Caenorhabditis elegans: one gene and its partners. The protein of the gene in region 4 binds, or shares a complex with, the protein of the main gene of each other region. Each region holds a gene or a part of one and is shown on either strand. Other genes may lie near its edges. The genes, in order: rgr-1, mdt-31, sur-2 and mdt-4.

The links.
Region 1: mdt-4 (region 4) and rgr-1 share a complex: the UniProt entries of both Caenorhabditis elegans proteins name them as parts of the mediator complex.
Region 2: mdt-4 (region 4) and mdt-31 share a complex: the UniProt entries of both Caenorhabditis elegans proteins name them as parts of the mediator complex.
Region 3: mdt-4 (region 4) and sur-2 share a complex: the UniProt entries of both Caenorhabditis elegans proteins name them as parts of the mediator complex.

The regions. Positions count from the first base shown.
Region 1 is NC_003281.10:9,392,005-9,397,256, forward strand, and holds the start of rgr-1 (Mediator of RNA polymerase II transcription subunit 14), read left to right. Parts: upstream 1-2,099; coding exon 2,100-2,243; intron 2,244-2,294; coding exon 2,295-3,375; intron 3,376-3,472; coding exon 3,473-4,073; intron 4,074-4,520; coding exon 4,521-4,695; intron 4,696-4,926; coding exon 4,927-4,944; intron 4,945-5,252. Other genes in the region: gpr-2 (G-protein regulator 2), read right to left, coding at 1-285, 336-836, 890-1,137. UniProt on the Caenorhabditis elegans protein: Component of the Mediator complex, a coactivator involved in the regulated transcription of nearly all RNA polymerase II-dependent genes.
Region 2 is NC_003279.8:8,964,087-8,967,835, reverse strand, and holds mdt-31 (Mediator of RNA polymerase II transcription subunit 31), read right to left. Parts: upstream 1,723-3,749; 5' UTR 1,707-1,722; coding exon 1,679-1,706; intron 1,540-1,678; coding exon 1,438-1,539; intron 1,331-1,437; coding exon 1,166-1,330; intron 1,116-1,165; coding exon 874-1,115; 3' UTR 835-873; downstream 1-834. Other genes in the region: spd-2 (Spindle-defective protein 2), read left to right, coding at 1-28, 70-363, 411-741; snpc-4 (snRNA-activating protein complex subunit 4 homolog), read right to left, coding at 1,913-2,035, 2,090-2,227, 2,276-2,485, 2,534-2,854, 2,912-3,136, 3,181-3,250, 3,306-3,460, 3,530-3,742. UniProt on the Caenorhabditis elegans protein: Component of the Mediator complex, a coactivator involved in the regulated transcription of nearly all RNA polymerase II-dependent genes.
Region 3 is NC_003279.8:14,784,199-14,789,305, forward strand, and holds the start of sur-2 (Mediator of RNA polymerase II transcription subunit 23), read right to left. Parts: upstream 3,606-5,107; 5' UTR 3,599-3,605; coding exon 3,488-3,598; intron 3,423-3,487; coding exon 3,229-3,422; intron 3,145-3,228; coding exon 2,763-3,144; intron 1,765-2,762; coding exon 1,501-1,764; intron 1,446-1,500; coding exon 1,273-1,445; intron 450-1,272; coding exon 182-449; intron 1-181. Other genes in the region: F39B2.3 (15-oxoprostaglandin 13-reductase), read right to left, coding at 4,020-4,571, 4,767-4,849, 4,933-5,107. UniProt on the Caenorhabditis elegans protein: Component of the Mediator complex, a coactivator involved in regulated gene transcription of nearly all RNA polymerase II-dependent genes.
Region 4 is NC_003280.10:4,941,002-4,945,784, forward strand, and holds mdt-4 (Mediator of RNA polymerase II transcription subunit 4), read right to left. Parts: upstream 2,949-4,783; 5' UTR 2,942-2,948; coding exon 2,864-2,941; intron 2,754-2,863; coding exon 2,499-2,753; intron 2,450-2,498; coding exon 2,195-2,449; intron 1,872-2,194; coding exon 1,635-1,871; intron 1,519-1,634; exon of another isoform or gene 1,352-1,518; coding exon 1,172-1,351; coding exon of another isoform or gene 1,162-1,171; 3' UTR 1,106-1,161; downstream 1-1,105. Other genes in the region: cblc-1 (MMACHC-like protein), read right to left, coding at 1-13, 55-147; ZK546.19 (uncharacterized protein), read left to right, coding at 770-874, 1,162-1,317; SURF6 homolog gldi-11, read right to left, coding at 3,179-3,274, 3,325-3,621, 3,664-4,523, 4,568-4,679, 4,735-4,783. UniProt on the Caenorhabditis elegans protein: Component of the Mediator complex, a coactivator involved in the regulated transcription of nearly all RNA polymerase II-dependent genes.

The DNA of each region.
Region 1 (5,252 bases), on a different chromosome or scaffold from region 4:
AACAGTTTGAAACTGCTTTGGTTGATGGTCAGAACACTCCCCAAGATGATAAAATAAGCAGCTTGGCGTCTTTTTCCAAGTGCAATGAGACACTTTGCGATTGTAAGCAACACATCTCCAATGTGTTCGTTCAATCCAAGCTTCCGAATCGATACAAGCGCTTCCAATCCGTAGAGATATGCTTCGTGGAATTCGCCATTTCTCAGCATCTCTTCGGATAGCTTCGACTTATATTTGACTACATCTCGCTCTTTTCCGAATTTCGTGGCGTAGAAGAGAGCACTTCTGTAAAAATAGAATTGACATTTTTATTAATCGTTAAAACTAAAAATTACCTGAGATCTCTGATAATAAAGAAAAGAAGATATGTCTCAGCATAGAGAGCCTTGTCGTAATAGGCGATGTGAACTGCTTCAAACTGGTCTGTTTTGATGGCAAAATCGATGCATTCTTGATACTTGCGACGCGATTCCTCGTATTTTTCGTCGAGTGACAAGCATTTCGCCTCAATTAGCATAATTTTGGTCTCAGACACAGCTCCTTCCGTATTATTCTCGTTGAACAATTTCACGGCTGCAATCTGTTCAGCACATATTGACAAAAGCTTCTTCTTCTCATCTTGATTACTCTCGACGTCTCTTTCACATCCTTCGAGGCACACGGAAGCGAACAAAATTCGAGCTTGACCGATATACTTCTCTCCGTTCTTCTTATTGCTGGTGTAATCAATGAGATCCTCAGCAAACCGTCGAGCCTTGGAGAACTTTTCCATTTTGAGTGCCTGCTGGACGATGCGACGTGTGGAATCACATGCTTCTGGGTAGTTGAAGATCAATCTGAAAAATTAAAGTTATAGAATGCCCAGCCCATTTCCGTTTAATTCACTTACTTGAACATGTTCAACTCATGTTCGAAAAACTCCAAGGCCTTGGCGTCGTGGTTCAAATGCCTGCACACTCTTCCGTAATACATGTAGATTGTACCAAGCAGTTGAAAATTGGAGGTTCCGAACTCCATTGTGTCCTCTAAGCGTCCTTTTCCATCCTCGTATTGTCCCAATTTCATGGCCGTCACCGCGCTTTTCAGCATTGCTTCGATGACTTCATCCTTAGGGCCATCATAATAAGAGACGTCCATTCGTTTTGCGAATGTGGAAACTTCTGAAATAAATCGAAAATTGCGAGCAAAAATAAAAAAATAGAGGAATTTTACGCAAACAGACAAAAATTTCACGCGGATCTGCACGAATACACGAAATATTTAAAACGGGGAAAGTTTCTTCAAATATCTCACGAGGTTTAATAGACTATTACACATTTTGTTTAAAATTTTACAATTTTTCAATAAAACAACCGCTGAAAAACAAATAAACTTGAACAATGACTCGAGAATCTCTGTGGGGAAGTGAAACTTGGCGGTTAACGCGTTGTTTTTTCGCGCGCTCTCAACTTCTAATTTAGCGCCGCTTTCTGATATGTCGTCAAATGTGTTGCCGATGTACGCAAGTACACCATCACGCGCATTTGCACACTCAGTGGAGTTTGCAAACAAATTTTCAAAAATAAATTAAATACTGTTTATTGTTTAATTTTATGCATATTTGTACAATTTGAATGTTATAGTTTGATTAAAACTATTCGAAACATGTAAATAAACTTTAAATTTGTAAATGTGTCGCTTCCCAGACCGTATATTGTGTATTCTTCAAATAAATATGTATTTCGCAGAAACTGTCTTCCCAACTCCGAGCCGCACTGGCGGATAATTCGCCGGCTGCTCCAATATCACCGGCTCCATCTGGCTCGGCCTTGTCACTCGATGAGTCGTCTGGAATTTCAGACCGCGATGTACATTCTTCTCAGGAACAAACGGCACATCTCTCCGAAGTCGATGTAAAATCGATTCATTCATCGGATAGCGAAGATGGTATGCTGCAGTAGAACAAGGAAGATATTTATTTTCTATAATTTCCAGAACCAGCGCAAAATCCCTTACCAGAAGTTCCTGCAAATTGTGGCCCTCCGACGATACCTCTAAATGTTCTATTAGACTTTGCAATTCAACATGTTTACCACGAGATCACAGTTCTTGCGGAATTGATGCAGCGGAAGACAAATGATCAAGGAGAGCAGGAGCGGAAAATGTCTCTTGTACATTTTGCACACGCTACTCGCAGTCAATTTTTGAAACTTGTAGCATTAGTAAAATGGATACGGATTTCGAAGCGAATGGATGTTTGTTATGTAAGCTTAATTCGCTCGATTTCGATCGAAAAAAAAACATTAATTTTCCAGTCTATCGACTACCTTCTCGATCTCCAATCACAATATTTCATCGACACGGCCGATCGATTAGTCGCAATGACTAGGGGAGATCTCGAATTAGCTCGTCTTCCAGAATACCATATTGCGCCAGCTATTGATGTTCTTGTATTAGGAACGTATAATCGAATGCCATCGAAAATCAAAGAAGCTTTCATTCCTCCAGCAAAGATCACACCGAGAGAACAGAAACTCGTCACTTCCCGATTAAATCAGCTCATTGAAAGTCGGCTTTCTCGACTTTCAAGCGGAATCCCACCAAATATAAAAGAAATTCACATCAACAATGGACTTGCAACTTTACTGGTTCCTGGAGAGTTTGAAATCAAGATTACATTGCTCGGTGAAACAGAAATGACAAAGTGGACTCTATTGAATATCAAAATTCTCGTGGAAGACTACGAACTTGGAATGGGACTTCCTCTTGTACATCCATTACAGCTTAATCAGCTTCATGGAGTACTGCAATCTCGGATGAATGTTTCCTTAAATCCTATTAAAGAAGCTTTCTCCTTTTTGCACAGTTTCTGTGTTTCACTACAATTGGATGTTTTGTTTTGTCAAACTTCAAGATTGGCAGCTGGAAGGTTACGTGATAACATTACAATCGAAAAGTATGACCCAAAAGAACGAGTTTTGGTAGTTGGATACTGGGTTAAAAGATCGAAGAGTCGAAGATTAACTGTAGGACAAGTCAAATGTGATGCACAATACAGAGTTCAGATCTATGAAGATCCAAATGACAAGCTAGGTGGACTTAAAGTTCGTCATTTCCCTCATGCTCCTCAGCTCGGACGACTTGATTCTGGAGCTGGAATGTTGTCAATTGATCGACTATTATCAGAAACATATGTGGTCAGATGTAAGGAACGATTGATGCGGTTGAGAAGAATCCTTGAAGCTGCTGAACCAAGATTAGAAGTGAAGATGACTGGAATCTCTGCACCGTCACTTTCTCTTGCTCTCCTACCGGATACCTCTTCAAAGGATGAAATGATGACGGTATCTGTGAATTCATTCTGTGGAAAAGTGCTCTGCAACGTTCACATTCTCAGTGAGTTGTGTCGTTTCAAATTCCAGCATATTAATTTTAAAAAAATACTCTATTTTTTACCAAAATTATAAAAGAAATAAACTTATTCATATTTCAGGTGCTGAACACGAAGATGTCCTGGCTTTTGGAAAAGCTCTCTACAGTAGTCAATGTTCAGCGCACACAATTCAAATGTATCTTAGAAAACTTCGTGTCGCCCTCGTGATAGAACGATATCGACGATCAGTGAAAGCTCTTCCAGTTCGTGAAGTTCAAGAAGCTGAGCTTCTTCCATTTGCAAAGGAATGTCTTGGTGATGCTCCTGCCCAACGAATTATTCTTCAGTTCCTTCGATCTGAAGACTATTATCTGCTTGTCACATTCTCTCCCGATGAAAAAGCAGTTGTTAAGACTCACATTCAACTTTTGGAAGTTGTTGGAGACCGAGCTCAGTTCATTCAGTTGGAGGATGATGAGATGAATGGAATGCATGTAAAAGAAGCGATTAATCAAGGAACGATGCGTTTCTCGCCATCTCATAAAACATCACTTCAAGAAGAGTGTTCGAGAGAGCAGAGACTTGCATTTGCAGTGGCTACTGTAGAAGATCGGATCACGTACATGTATCTGGCGGCTGAATTAATGAAAAAGGGAATTGGAGTTGATGTGAGAAAAGATTCAGCACACGTTCCAGGAGGGCTTGCTCTACATATCACGGAGTAAGTTTTTTTCTAGATTTCGAGCACTTATATTAAAAATTGAGCAGCAGCGTCAAGAAAAAATTCTAAGGTTCGAAATAGTCTCAAGTTCAGAAATATCACAAAAGACAAACGAAAAAATCGCTTCAGAAATTTTTCAATATTGACTGAATTCTCGGTTTGAATTTCATCCAAGTTTTGAGAGTTTGATTTTTTATTCTTTCACAATTTGTTTTTCTTTTTTCTTTTGTGGTTTTATTTTTCTGAATTTGACATTATTTTGAATTTTTGAAACAAAATCCCCAATCTCGCTAAATACTTCATCTTTAAACATTTTCCGCCAGTCTTAAAATGTAATACTGCCAGTATTCATGATTTGAAAACAAATTGAGAAAATTGAAAAAATTGACTTTTTCAGACAAATTTTATTTCGTCCGAAACAATTTTTAAAAATCTTGTAATTTTCAGTGTGAAAAATGTTGTTCCATTCGAGGCAAGCGAATTCTTTGAATGTTGTATCAGATGCTGCCTTCGTCTCGATAATCGAAATCGCTACACATTCCAATTCGAAATGTGCTTTGAAAATATTCCATTGGTTCGAGACGTACCGCATGGTCTCCCACATCGTCGGGATGGTGAACCGGTACGTCATTTCTTATTTAATTTTAACTTAAATTCTCAGAAAAGATTGCCGTGCCGCCCGAATTATGATCGGTGTCGTATTGTTGTCGTTCTTAGAATATTAGAACAGATGAGAATGCAGTTTTTTTTAAAAATATATTTATTCTACTTTTTCGGTTTTGGTATCTATCCTAGCTTTTAGAAAATAGAATTTCCTGTGATGACACATTTAAATATTAGTTTTTGATTTCAGAAAGATCGCACCAGTAAGGTTAGTTTTATTGCTTCGGATTGTGCATGATATGTTGCTTTTGCATGCTTCTTGTCTAACCATTTATGTTTCCTCACTGAGAATATCGATTTCTTGATTTTTTTTGCAATAATTCCCGATTCTTGCAAAATTTTGAATCAAGTTTTCCGAAATTTTCATTCGGAAACAGGAAAACATTTTAAAGAAAAAATTCAATTCAAGTGGTTTTTCCAAGAAAATTTCCCAGAAAATAGAATTTACGCTTTTTAATTTATTAAAATTATACATATCTTAATACTCGATTTGGATAATTTACGTACTTTCGAGTT
Region 2 (3,749 bases), on a different chromosome or scaffold from region 4:
TTAAGATCAGCAACTCTGCAGGAACAAGGTAGGCTAAATAGACGACGCTTACATAACAATTTCTTTCAGAGACGGCTTTGCGATGATTAAAGTGTTCGACTCAGCGATGCGACAGCTTCCAGACGGATGTGTAGCTTTCTTTCCTGCACCCGGTTTCATTGTAAAGAAAAAATCGGATAAGCGTGTTGACATTCGCATCGACTCATCTTATATTGATCTTCACGATGAAAACAATTTTCGTACATCGTCTTCGCTTTCGACAGCCTCAACAACATCCTCATTCCAGCGACGTATTCTTCCTGGAGCCAAATTCTTTGTGCATGTCGTTTGGGGTGAAGAAACCATGCGAACCAGACTTCGATTGTTAATTTGAATACAGATGAAATGGTATTACATTTGAAATTATTTAGGCTAGAAGTTCGCACAGGACAGCATCAACTAATCGATGGTCATGACTTCACATCTTTCCAATTTTCCGATGAAGAAGTTCTTCGTGCTGTTCCAGTTGGATTCCCCGCTATCAAGCCCGAGGACCGTGATCTGTTCGCTGCTTCTTATCGTAGTTTCTTCATCAATTTTTTCACTTCTACAACTGAATTCCGTGCTGCTACAAGCCGGAAGAAGAAAGAGATATGCAGCAACGACGACTCTACTCTACTCGAGACAACAGCTTTCCGTAATCAGACATTTGTCAACGACGTTACAATTGTTCCCAATACAAGATTTTCGAATAGAAAGTAAAATCTTAACCTAACTTTCCAAATATTCTCTGATTTCTGTCCAGGCTTCGAAAAAATTCACGGTTCTGTAAAATGTAGGTTTCAATTTCAATAAAGTGGTGATGAAGTTTTATTTGATTTACATTTTTTATGTTTATTTTTCTTTCTTTGAAACGGTAGAAGTTGTGGAATTCTTTTCGGCTGTGTCAGCATCCGGTTTCTTCATCGTTTCCTCATCATCTTCATCCTCTGTGTCCTTTTGTCGAATATCAGCTTCATCTTCAGATTCTTCAAGCTCTTGTCCCTCATCAGGCATCATACACAAACGATGCCGTTTCCGAAGATAAAACTGCCATTGGAGAACCACTTGATCTTCTACGAATTTCGCGCTTGGTCCTGAAAATAAGTTACTATTCTTCTGATAGATTAAATAAAATTTGAACTACCGTAAGCCATCGAATCGCGAAATTGCTGACTCTGCAGTGCTTCAAGCATGTGCAGACATTGAGGAAATTTCAAGCATCTGGCATATTGAGGATCTTTCCAATAGAGAAGATATTTGAGATAGTTGACAAAATATTCTTCTTTGAAATAACCACGTTGCGCGAGAACTGGAAAATATGAAATTTGCAGGAAAAAGAGTGCATAAAAAAACAAGAAACTTAGAATAAAAATACGTTTTTCTCTATTCTCGGCTAGTGTATGTGAATAAACTCACAATTAAGATAATTTGGATTTGCAAGAGCCTGCACGAATTCACATTCAACTTCAAATCTCGTCTTTTCACTTTCTACACTCTCCATCTGCATTGTATTGTAGCCTGAAGAAAAAAAAATGGAATTCAAGCTTCGAAAAATTACAGAAATTTACAAAATTTTGATATTATGACCTTTTTTCACCTATACGGTGAAATCCGTACTACGAAATGAGTTAAATATATTATTCCAATGGAAACATACCGTATCGATTGAAACTAAAACGACCCATGCCTATAAAACCATTTTATTAGAAAAAGAAAAACAAATTTAACAGATGGTGTTCATAAAGAGCTGAGATTGTTAATAAAACAAAAGTGAAATAATCTTAGGAGATCAACTTTTAATGGGTTCAGTTTAAAAAAGTGATGTAAAACTGCACAGGAGAGGATGACATAGAGTTGGGTAAAATAGTTATATTGTTCAATAATAGAATATTCAATCTAACTCCACTTTGAGCGAAATATTACTCTCCGTATCGATCGAGACGTGACTTGGAGTGGGTGTACCTGCAGATGAACGCGGTGGACGAGCAGGACGCGCTGCAACTGTCGCAACGGTCTGAAAAATATACTGTTTCATTGAGGACTATGAGAAAAATATAGATAATAGTACCGCAAGGATTACTAGGGGTAAAAGTTTAATTTTAGTGTCACATCTCACCTCTCCAATCTTCCTTTTCATTCTGATTTTCTTCGCAGAATTCTTGTCCAGATTAGCCAACAACTCGGTGGTATCGATTTTCATGCCGTTCTGAAAAAAAACAACGTCTAGCAGTGGAGACAACGCAAAAAACTTTACATTTAGTTCTCTAGAGATTGAAGTTGGAGTAACATAGATCTCGTCATCAGGCATCCGGCGTCGTCTTATTTGGTCACAGGTAACTTGTTGTTCTTCATCGCAGGCGCGTTCCTCTGCAAGACAGCGCACAAGCCGCTTGGTTTCATCAGACGACGATTCACGAGCAATTCCAAGACGCATTGGTTCGAGAAGAATCGAACGCATTCGAGCCTGAAAAATTATCAAAAATAAAAATAAGAATATAATATATTCACTTACATAAAAATTCGCATACTCTTTACTATTGGTGACCTCATCAGACAACCCGATATGCATACGTCTGTCTCCGTCGAGGCCCTCTCTCTCGTCGTTTTTGAAGTTGAATTGTTGAGCCAGAGAGACATCAAGAGGGTAAAAGTGTTCAGCAGAAAGACGATTCAATCCAGAACGGGCTTTTTGAAGCATTTTGTGAAGATCGAATGATGCAGCAGTCGGAGGAAGAGTTGACTTGGCTGGGCAATGTACATCATTTTGATTGCATGACTTTGAGTTAACATGTAAATACCATTCAGCGACTTCTTTTGACTTGTTTATGACCATCTGTGAGAATTTTAATGTGAATTTTCATTAAACTTTATTTTCTCTATTCTGACTCACATTCTCCACAAATCTTTTAGCGTATTTCGGCGCTGTGAAGCGATGTTCATTCCAAAACTTAGTGCCCCATTCTTTTACGTCGTGAGCACGAATTACAGAGCACAACGACTCCACAATGACCATTTGCTTTTCATCTTCAGCATCATTTGGATCAAATGTTGGCATTGTTTCTGGATCCAAATCGATCTTAATCGGACGAACACGACATCCGATTTGATCCACGTTCTGAACATTTTTCAATGGGTTAATATTCTGTACAATTAATTTACCTTTCTAAACTGTCGAGCCTCGTAGTAACGCGTCAAAGTCTTGCTTCTTTCTATCATGTAACGAACATCACTGAAAAACAAAATGTAATTAAAATATGGTGTTTTTTTTTTGGTTTTCAACTAACACTTCCGTGATTGTGAGCGATGAGAGAATTTCACTGGAGTGTAGTTCTTTGTCGATTTCGGCTGCATTTTTGTGCTTTTGAACAATTTCGTTGATTTTATCTTGGATTTTTTGATAATCCGGCTTATTCTTCAGAGCTCGAATTCTAGCGGCGGCCTGCAATAATAATAATAATAATAGTAATAATAAAAATATGAGTTTTAAAAAATTTATTTTTGATCTTACTGGTCTCTCCAAGGCAGATACACGTTTGTAAAATTCTTCGGGAGTCTCATTCATATCCGGATTTTCGTTGGCGAATTTCTCATAAACTTCTTTCATGAGTTCATTTGGAATCTGCTCCGCTTCCACAATATCTTCTTGCTCCAGCTCGTCCTCTTCAGGAGCACGTCTTCCGGATTTCATGGCATCGACCGCGTTGCAGAATCCGGCAGCCAACTGAAAT
Region 3 (5,107 bases), on a different chromosome or scaffold from region 4:
CCCTGAACATAACATCATTTTTAAAAACTGCAAAAATTCATATTTGGAGCCATTTTACCGACCTCAAAAGTTGTGAAAAAATGTATTGAAAAATTTGAAAAGCTGCATCAATTTTTTGTAGTTTTTCTGGATTGCAGACTCTCTTTTTTAGAATTTTCCAACAAAAAAGACTACTACTGACATCTTTCTCCAAAATCATCCAAGTACCAGCTGCAGCAAGAAACCTTGCAAACAACGCGGGATGATCCGATGCACCCATCCAAACAACATCTCCATCAAACAGCTCATTGTACAGCTCAACAATTTCAGTCACCGCATCATCGAGTCGTGTTAAATTAGACAGAGAGCCGACAACTTGAAAAACGATCCACATAACTTCGTCGCGAGCCCGTGTGTACTTGCATCGTTTTATCAAATTTTTGAGAACATTGAAGAATGTTTTTGGGACTCTGAAAATGCTATTTTTCGGTTTTTTCTAAGGTCTCAATATCGAAAACATTAGCTTTTAGGGAACAAAAACTCAAAATTTCGATAGATTTTAGACTTAAAAAATAATTTTTCCAGATTTTCGAGAATATCTATTATCCAAAACTTCTCTTTTTGGATTTTTTAAAAGAAAAAGTTACAAGAAAAATTAAAGATTTTGGTTTTCAATTTTTCTAAATGTCGGAAATCTAAAGTTTTGTTTTTTGGTAAATTTTTTTTTAAAAACATTTCAAGAAAATCTTAAGTTTCGGTATTTTTTTTCGAAATTTTATTTAAGAAGTGAAAAATTGGATTTTTCTGGAATTTTCTAAGAATAATTGAAAAAAAGAAATATTTTGGTTTTTCGATTTTTTTTTGAAGGTCTAAAAGTCAAGAACATTCAGATTTTTGAAGAATTTTCAAAAGATTTTGTTTAAATTATAGCTTTTATCCTAAGAATTTTGATTTTGGATTTTTTTTTCCTTCAGAAATAAACCAAAAATTGAAACGCTTAGTTTTTAAATTAAATTATTAGCTCTACTTTCAAATTTCTGGCTTTTCAAGACAATTTTGAAATTCAAAACTTGTGTTTTTCAAATAGAATCTTTTTTTTTTCGATTTTCTCTTTGAAAAACCCAAAAATTTAGCTTTCCTGAATGTCGGAAATCGAAATGTTCGGATTTTTTAGAATTTTACTTTAAAAGTAAAAAATTGGATTTTTTTTCTGAATTTGCGAAAAATAATTGAAAAAAGGAATATTTTTGTTTTTCGGGTTTCGCAAAATCGAAAAATTTGAAATACACTAACAATAAATGTTGTGTAATCCCATAAATAACAATATTAACAATATTGTCCCATTGATATCGTGGAATTGGCTCAGTTTCCGGTAGAGATTCTGCTTCGGCCATTGATTCACATATCATTACAGATATCAACATTTCCCAATTTGTCTTTGTCTTCGTTTTGCTCGGAGGATGAAGCTGAAACTTAATTCGGGATAAGTTATTTAAAATATATATATTCTCAATTTCATACCGAGTCCTTTCCCAATGGCTGACGAAGAATCATGTAGAGGGTGTACAAGTATGTAGAAGTATGTTCAGGACGATATGGAAGTGTATGATGAGGTTGAACAATTGTATTACTGGCATTTAATCCATGTTCTTCCCAACACGATGTTAATGGATAGAATGATGGATGTAGTGGAATGGGGTAAACGAATCCACGGCCACACACGTGGGATAGGTCGGCAATTGGTCGGAAATGGACGGATAAGCTTGCCAGTTTCTCCGTTAGTCTCTGTAATATTTGGCATTTTAATTTAATCTTAAGAAATATAGGCTTGGTAAATGAATCGAGATGGGTCGATCCGTGACTCATCTCGAGCCGCTTTTTGCAAAAAAAATCCACAATTGCCGGAATTGAAATTTCCGGCAAATCAGCAGATTGCCGGAAAATCAGCAAATTGCCGAAATTTTTCGGCAAATTGTGGTTTTGTACATTCAGATAATTTTTCGTCGATGAAGGTGATTTTTCAGTCAATCAGCATACAAATCAGGGGTGTGTGGCAAACGATTTTTTCGGCAAATCGGCAAAGTGCCGGAATTGAAATTTCCGGCAAATCGTGAAACCGGCAAATTTCCGAATTTACCGGAAAAATACCAATTGTCGAAAATTTTTGGCAAATTGTGGTTTCGCACTAATTTTTTGGGAATTTCAGAATTGTACGCATCCTGTGAGTGTTTGAATGTTTTTTTCTACATCTTTTTTGAAAAGTAAGCAAATTCTATAAAAATATCTGAGGAAAAGGGAAAAACAGCCCAAAAAGTCACAGTTTTAAGTGTTTCAGTCTTATGAAAAAATCCCTCAAAACATTTGCGGAAAATTTAACATCCGGTAAACGGCAAATCGGTAAACCAGCAAATTGCCCGATTTGCCGAACGGTAATTGCCGCCCACCCTTGGTAAAAACTTCAAATAAAATGTTGAGAAACTGAAAATTTAGAAATCAGAAGAAATTTCCCGTCATTTTTTTATGGCTTAAATTAAGTTTTTTAAAACTTCTGTAGTATTCAATTTGGTTTACTTTCTGTAACTCAAAAACTAAATGCACAGAAATTAGAAACTTTGCGAGAATGGTCGAACTTTTTTTTGGTTTCCGCCAAAAAAAAATTCGACTTTTTGAATGTAGAGAGATCTTTTTTTTGTGTTTTTTTTGCCGAAAAAAAAAATTAACAAATCTAAATTTTTACATTGTCTTTATATTTTCAGCAATTTTTTTTAAAATTTTCCCCTCACCGGCAGCATAAGCGCCTGTTTCGGCATTCCTCTCATAATTTCTGATAATGTGATGAGTGGAGGCATCAAATTGGAGTCTCTATCCACAATATGCAGTATTACATTCTCAACAATGCGGATTTCGTTTACTTGCTCCGGAGATAGTGAATACGGTAGGCGACGGAGCTGTGATTCCAGAATATATCGGAGGATATTCCGAATTCCTTTGTAATCGATTTTTGGAATGCAATCATTGATGAATTTCCATTTTTCTTGGCATATTCTACTGCATAATCGGAAGTCCGAAGTCATTATGAGTCCTTCTGCGCACAGATTCGTTGAAATCGCACCTTTTTGATGAGCATATCGGAGAAGCTGATCTACGACACGTTCGTAGTTTGTTCTGGAATAAAACACTGTTAAAACCTCTGATTATATGCAAAAGAACTGTTAAAATTGTTTTTTTTTCGAATTTTTAAATTCTCACCCAACAAAAACTCGATCAGGAGAGTTCTTTTCCGCCACGTGATGAACCATTTTTATTAGCTCTTTCACTAAAGATTGTTTTTCTTTTTCTTCCATTTTACTCATCATATTATTGAATTGAATCCGTAAAATCGCCGTCTCGTCGCCAATATTCGACGTAAGAGGTCGAAAAAATTTTCTTGTGTGGTTTTCTTCCTAGAATATATTTTTATGAGTTATGTTTAATTTTTTAAGCGTTATTTTTGATTTAAAAAACTCACAACGAGACTTTTAATTTGACTCTTTATTCGATTGACTTCCTGAACAAATTGCGGAGAGCACGTGTCATCCATTTCAATTGTATCTTCTGCGGAACCAGGTTTATCCGTCATTTTGTTGCCTGAAAATGTAATAATTTTCAAAAGAAAAATGTTAAAATAATAAATTGAAACAAAATAGGTTGATAAAAATTAAAAACGCATTGTTTGAGAAAGATATTACTGCGCCTCTTCTCTCTCACGCGTGACAATAGAGCGCGCTTGGTGTGTGGTCTCTTCGTTCACGCATATTCTGCGGATTTGAACTCTACCAGAGTTCTGCGAAAAAACTACTACATATATAATACATTTCACACATTTAAATATCTTGACTTTTATTGTAGGTAAACTGACATTTGGACTGATTTGCCAAATTTCTGTTGAAAATCAGTTTCAAGAAGCTGAAATCTAGATTAATTTATTTTTTTCATATCTTCATAAAAAGTACAGTTTATTCTCATTTACATTCCTTTAAATGGCGTGTTAAAATAATGAATTAATGTTCGATTTGCACTACAAGATTTCCTTTCGCTCCCTTGTTGTTCATAATTTCCTCATGAGCCAGTCCTAATTGCTCGAGACGATACAATTTGTTTATAAGTGGACGAAACTCGGTTTCCTTCAAGAATGAGACAATGTTGATGCCAAAGTCCAAGAGCTCAGCCTCGGAAGACATTCCCAATGCTACACCGTAAACAGCTCCTTCTGTAACCATAAGTTGTCTTGCGTTGATCGTGGTCTCGGCGCGATTTCCAATTACTGCAACTCTACCACGTGGAGCCAGCAATCCGAGGTCCGTGTTCAGATTTGTGTGAGCAGCCATTTCGAAAATGTGGTTGAAGCCTCCTGGATAATCATTTTTCATTTTCGACACATATTGCTTATCCGAATGATTATAGACATTCCGTGCACCAAGACTCTTCACGAACCGGATCCCATCAGCAGATCCAGCAGTGCCAACAGCTTCAATGTTCCTCCAGGCAGCCAGCTGCATCAGTGCACTTCCCACTCCACCAGATGCTCCGTGTACAAGTATAACGTCGCCAGTCTGAGAAGAGAATTAGTTTTGGGAGGGAACAGCAGATGGTCGTATTTTAGACCGCCCCTTGTTTGAGATGGAACAGATGGTCAAGTTGGCTTTGTAAAGATTGATTTGTATTGATTTTGCCTCCTAATTTTGATACGTTTTTGCCAAAATTTTAATATTCTCTATGAACCATTTAATAATAAATAAAAGTCAAACCTTTGCACCAGCAAGATGAAACAATGCACGATAAGCGGTAAGATAAGGCACTCCGAGAGAAGCTCCTTCCTCAAACGAAACTCCTGAAATGAGATTTTAGCTATATCTTAGGTCTCGCCACGCGGGCAACTAGCTACAGTAACCCGTTGCGCAATGATTCTTTTACCTTCCGGCAACTCGAATGGTCGATTCACCGCAACATACTCTGCTGTACTGTCCGCTTCTGATCCATACCAGACTCGATCGCCGACTTTCACATTTTTAACGCTTTCTCCCACAAGTTCGACGAATCCGGCTCCATCTTTTCCTGGTACATATGGAAGATTTGGTAGTTTTCCATA
Region 4 (4,783 bases):
TGTAAGATCCAATCTGAAGGACGAACTTGATGATTTAAATGATTTTGGAATTACCTTGAACATATGGGATTCAAATCCTTCGTGTGAGGAGAGTTTTTGGTCGACAACTCGTTTGATGGATTCTGCATGGCTCATTTCAGTTACCATATCTGAAAACATGGAAATTATTATCTAGACGCAATGTTTTGCGTCAAAAGTACGATGCCTGATCTCGCCACGACAATTGTTTCATTTTTTCTAAATAAGAAAGGTGTGTTCAAACTGTCGTGTTGATTTTGGTGAAATTTATGCTTTATTCTATCGAAAACTATCGGAAAATCGATGAAAATTATATAGCAACAAAAGTTTGAAAGTACAGTACTCTTTAAAGGTGCACATCCGTTTGTATTTAACAACAAATTAAAGAAAGCTTTGTCGAGACCAGATGCAGTATTTTTTGCCGAAAAATCGCAAATTTAAGAGTATAATAAGATAGAAAGTATTAATTCAATTAAGAAAATTCAAATGAAATCTTGAAGAATCCTTCCGAAACAAAACATTCCACATGTATTGTATTCAAGAATCAGGACCGCCCATCTATATCTAGATTAGTTGTGTGGAGGCAAGTCAAAAGAAGATGTGTGGGAATGTGTCTGATGGGAGAGATAATTTCTTATCTATTACCAAAGGGCAAGTAATATAAAATGACATAAAAAACGAAAGGAGGCGAAATTTTACAACTTCAACTTTTCTTCAAACTGATTTGAGCCCACAAAAACAAAAAAAAGTGATGGCTAACAACACTTTCACTGCAACATGTTTTGTGCATCTTTTCACGTACTCCGCATCTCTCTTGTCATGGGTGGTCCCTTTCGTTTCTGCGTCTCTAGATGGGGTGAGTGTTTTTTTAAAATAAGATTTGAATCAAAAGCTAACTTAGGTATATTCCAAAATTTGGCATATTTCTAAATATAATTAGTTACTAGAATTGTTGAAAAAAAAGTTCAAGGAGTAAATAGATTAGAGGACATAAAGAAAGAAAGAAAGGCAGCTGGCATAGCGGTAAACATGGCGTGGACACTGAACCACATGCAATCAGTTAGTGTCACTGTTAAACACAAGATATATAGAAAATTGTGTTTATTTATCAACGTACAATAAGTAAAATACCAGAATTTACAGAGATCTTTCATTATTTATTGCTACTGCCAGTCTTTTTCGATGCGCCTTCATCATCTGAACTATCTGACGAGTTGGAGCTGTCCGACGACATTTGTTCGACATCCCGCACATCTTGAACTTGATCGATACCTCCTGGACGATTCGGAAGTCCAGTAATTTTCAGCTTCACGTTTGGCGAGGAAGAAGGACTCTGAAAATATGTTATTTATTGGAAAATTATAAAATAGCAGATAAATGTAGCCATATTTAGATGTTCCGCGCCTAAGAAGACGAAGAATGATACCTATGGCGTTGTTATAGCACACGTAATCAACGATAAAGCCTTTGAAGCCGGCAATCTCGACTTTCTGTGTGCATTGAGAATCGAACTGGTGGACAGCTGAACAACGGGCAAACGCGTTACCACTGCGCCACCCGTGCATCATTTGCGGGCCGCCAGTAACACTGTCTATGTACACTCGGTTTGCACTGACCTGCGAGACACGGTTGTAAGGGGATTGCGTTGAGGTGGCTCCTGAAACTCCCGGATTCTGCCATTGCTTTTCATTTGGAGTGGCTCCACGGAGTACTTGCTGTTGAATCGGTGGAGGCTCGTCGGTGCCAAAACCAGTTCGTGGACTGAAATCTCCAGTCGGAGCAGAATTAATAAGAGGAGTGCCGACAGTTCGAATTGGAGCTGTTCCACCGTTGGATGAGGATGCGGATGGAGACTGAAATAATATTGATTGAACGTTGAATCTTAATTTTATTTATAAAATTTACTACGAATAACGTAGAAGGAAAGAGATCACAATATGAACTGAATATTTCTTATCACTCATAATTTGATCATTAGAAGGAATGACTGTTAGATAATGTAAGAAGATAAGACATAAATCACGTGATTCACAGCTGTTCGGTTACAGTGTGAAAAGAATTTCAGATTAACGTAGAAAACATTAGAAGTATTGCATTTATATAAATGCATTTATAAATGCATTTATCAAATATTTCAGGTGAGGATTCACATTTCAACAAGTTTCCATAAACATACCGTAATAAGCGGCCTCTGAGCGACGTTCTTTCCGGGTAAAAGCTGAGGTCCAGTGCTCTGAACTTTTGAATTCAATAGGTGACCAGCTCGAAATTCGTGTTCCTGAGGAAACGGACGCGATGGATCTCCCATTTGCCAAGTGAGTGGTGCAGATACGGAGTTGTGCTTACTGATCTGATGAGCCAGTTTGATGAGCATCTCACTATTGACTGGTCTCAATTCAGCTTCTTTCATTTGCTTGAGCTTCTGGTTTGCCTGAAATAAACGTATTTCGAAAAAAGTCTTTGTTTCCAACAAAATTTACATGAAAACAAGATCGCGTCAGAGCCACCTCACATGACTTCAAATTCGTTTCAAGTTGTTGAATAACTTCGTCTCGTTTCTCCACGTGGGCTTCAAGCGTCCGAATGAGCTGCTCTCGTTCTTGAAACTCAGGAACCCTCTTCAGCAAAGTCTTTATGCTATCCTGTTTTGAGTCAAACAGCTTGATAATGTTCGTAACGGTTTCTCCATTTTTCAGCATAACACTTTTGTCCCGATTGATGAGTGTATCGACGATCTGAAACAATAATTGATTATGTGGGTTCATGAATTCTATAAGATGAACTCACAGTAAAAAGTAATTTTAAAATAAACTATAATATTGTTTCAAATTTTTTTAGAACGTACCATTTTAACAATATGCTCCAAATCATCTGCAGATTCCAGGAGCAAATCCCGTAGACTTCGTTCATCTGTTTCTGCCATTTGAGATCTAGAACAATACAACCATCGAACATACATTAACAACTTTTAAAATAATTAATTACCGAAACAACGGCACAAGTTTCAAAAAAAAAGAGAATATTTTTCAAAGAATTTAGTATAATTTGAAAACTTAAAAACTTAACAACAGGCCACAGATTTAAAGAAAAAAGTTAACAGTAAAAATTAACAAAAAAATGTTCAACAACGAGAAATTAAAAGCGGATAAATGTGTGTTGTTTAGAGGATTCTTCCCTTGTTTCTCAACTTGTTCATCTTTCTCTTCTTGACGTCATCGATGCGCTTCTGGAGATTCTTCTTTCTCTTGTCTTGCTTCTGAAAAATAAAAATTCAAATCTTAAAGGATTTTCTACCAATCAACATACCGTTTGCTTCTCTCCCTCCGTCTTATTCTCTCGGTTCTCCCATTTCTGCTTTCTTCTATCCTTCATCTTATTCTTCTTCACCAAAGCCTTCTTGAGCATTCCCAAATTATCTTTCACTTTTCCACCAGCTGCTCTTTTCAGTGTTTTCTCCCACTTTAGCTCATCTTCCATGATGGTAGCCTTATGTGGATCAGCTTCGCGAACTTTGGCAATTGTTGCTTTTGTCTCTTCGACTTTAGCGATAAGTGATTTATAGTCACGTCCGGTAAGTTTAAGAGCTCGATCTTTTTTGGCGGTCTGAAAATTTCAGATATTTCAGATAAAAATATTTTTACTCACTCTTTGTTTCTTGCCCCTCTGCTTGTCTTCTTTGATTTCAAACTTGAGATTATTGAATGAAATTCCAGATTTCTGCTTCTCGACAGGCTCATTGCCATTTTCTGTGCTTTCAACAGTCTCTTTCTTCACTTGAGCTGCTGCCTCTTTTCCTTTCTTCTCCTCTGCTCTTCTTTGTTTCAGCTTCAGCTTGCTCTCCCGTCTTTTCAAACGCTTCTCCTCTGCCATTTTTTCAGCCATCGCTGATGTTACCTTCGCCGGTCCTTTTCCTTTCCGCTCAACTTTCATTTCCTTCAGCTTTTTCTGCAGTCTCAGCAAAGCGATTTGACGTCTGATTTCGGGGGATTCATTGTCTTCATCGTCTTCCAACTTTTGAATCTCCTTGTCAATTTTTCCATTCGATTTCAGAGTAGATTGTGCTACGGTTTTGTTGGGTTTAGATGGTGTTTCTTCTTCTTCGTCCGTTGAATCGCTGTCCTCAGCCTCTACAGCTCCATTATTTCCTTCAGGCTCTTCTCCATCTTCACTGTCTTCATCATCATCTGAAGATTCTTCTTTCTTTTGCTTCTTAGCAACTGGCTCGTCTGTTTCTTCTTTCTCCTCGTCGTCAGATGAATCATCCTCTTCTGAATCAGAATCAGCTTTCTTATCTTGCTTTTTCTGGTCTTTCTTCACTACTTTTTCTTTATTCTTGTTCTGATCCGCTGGTCTCTTCACCGGTGCAACAACCTTTTGTGGTTGCACTTTCGAATGCTGCTTGCTTTTAGACATCCACTCGAGGACTTCTTGAACAGTGTTTGGAACCAATCCTAAGCCTTTCGCCAGATGTTGTTTCTGTTGTGCAGACATTGACTTTCTTTCCTCTGAAAAACATACAGAATTTTAAAGAAATTTATCAATAAATTACTTTTGCTGAGTTGTCGATTAACCAAACTGTGTTTTCGCATCTTCAATGATTCTTTGACATCATCATCAAATCCCCAAGAGTTAACTGGAATCAGGTTGCAGAAGGAGAGCATCTGAAATTAAAATGTTTTGTTTCTCGGCCACTTTTCGAGGATGTGTGTACGCTACCTCTTTTTCAAGAATGTCCACTGCATCTTCTACAGCTTCTAATGTTTCT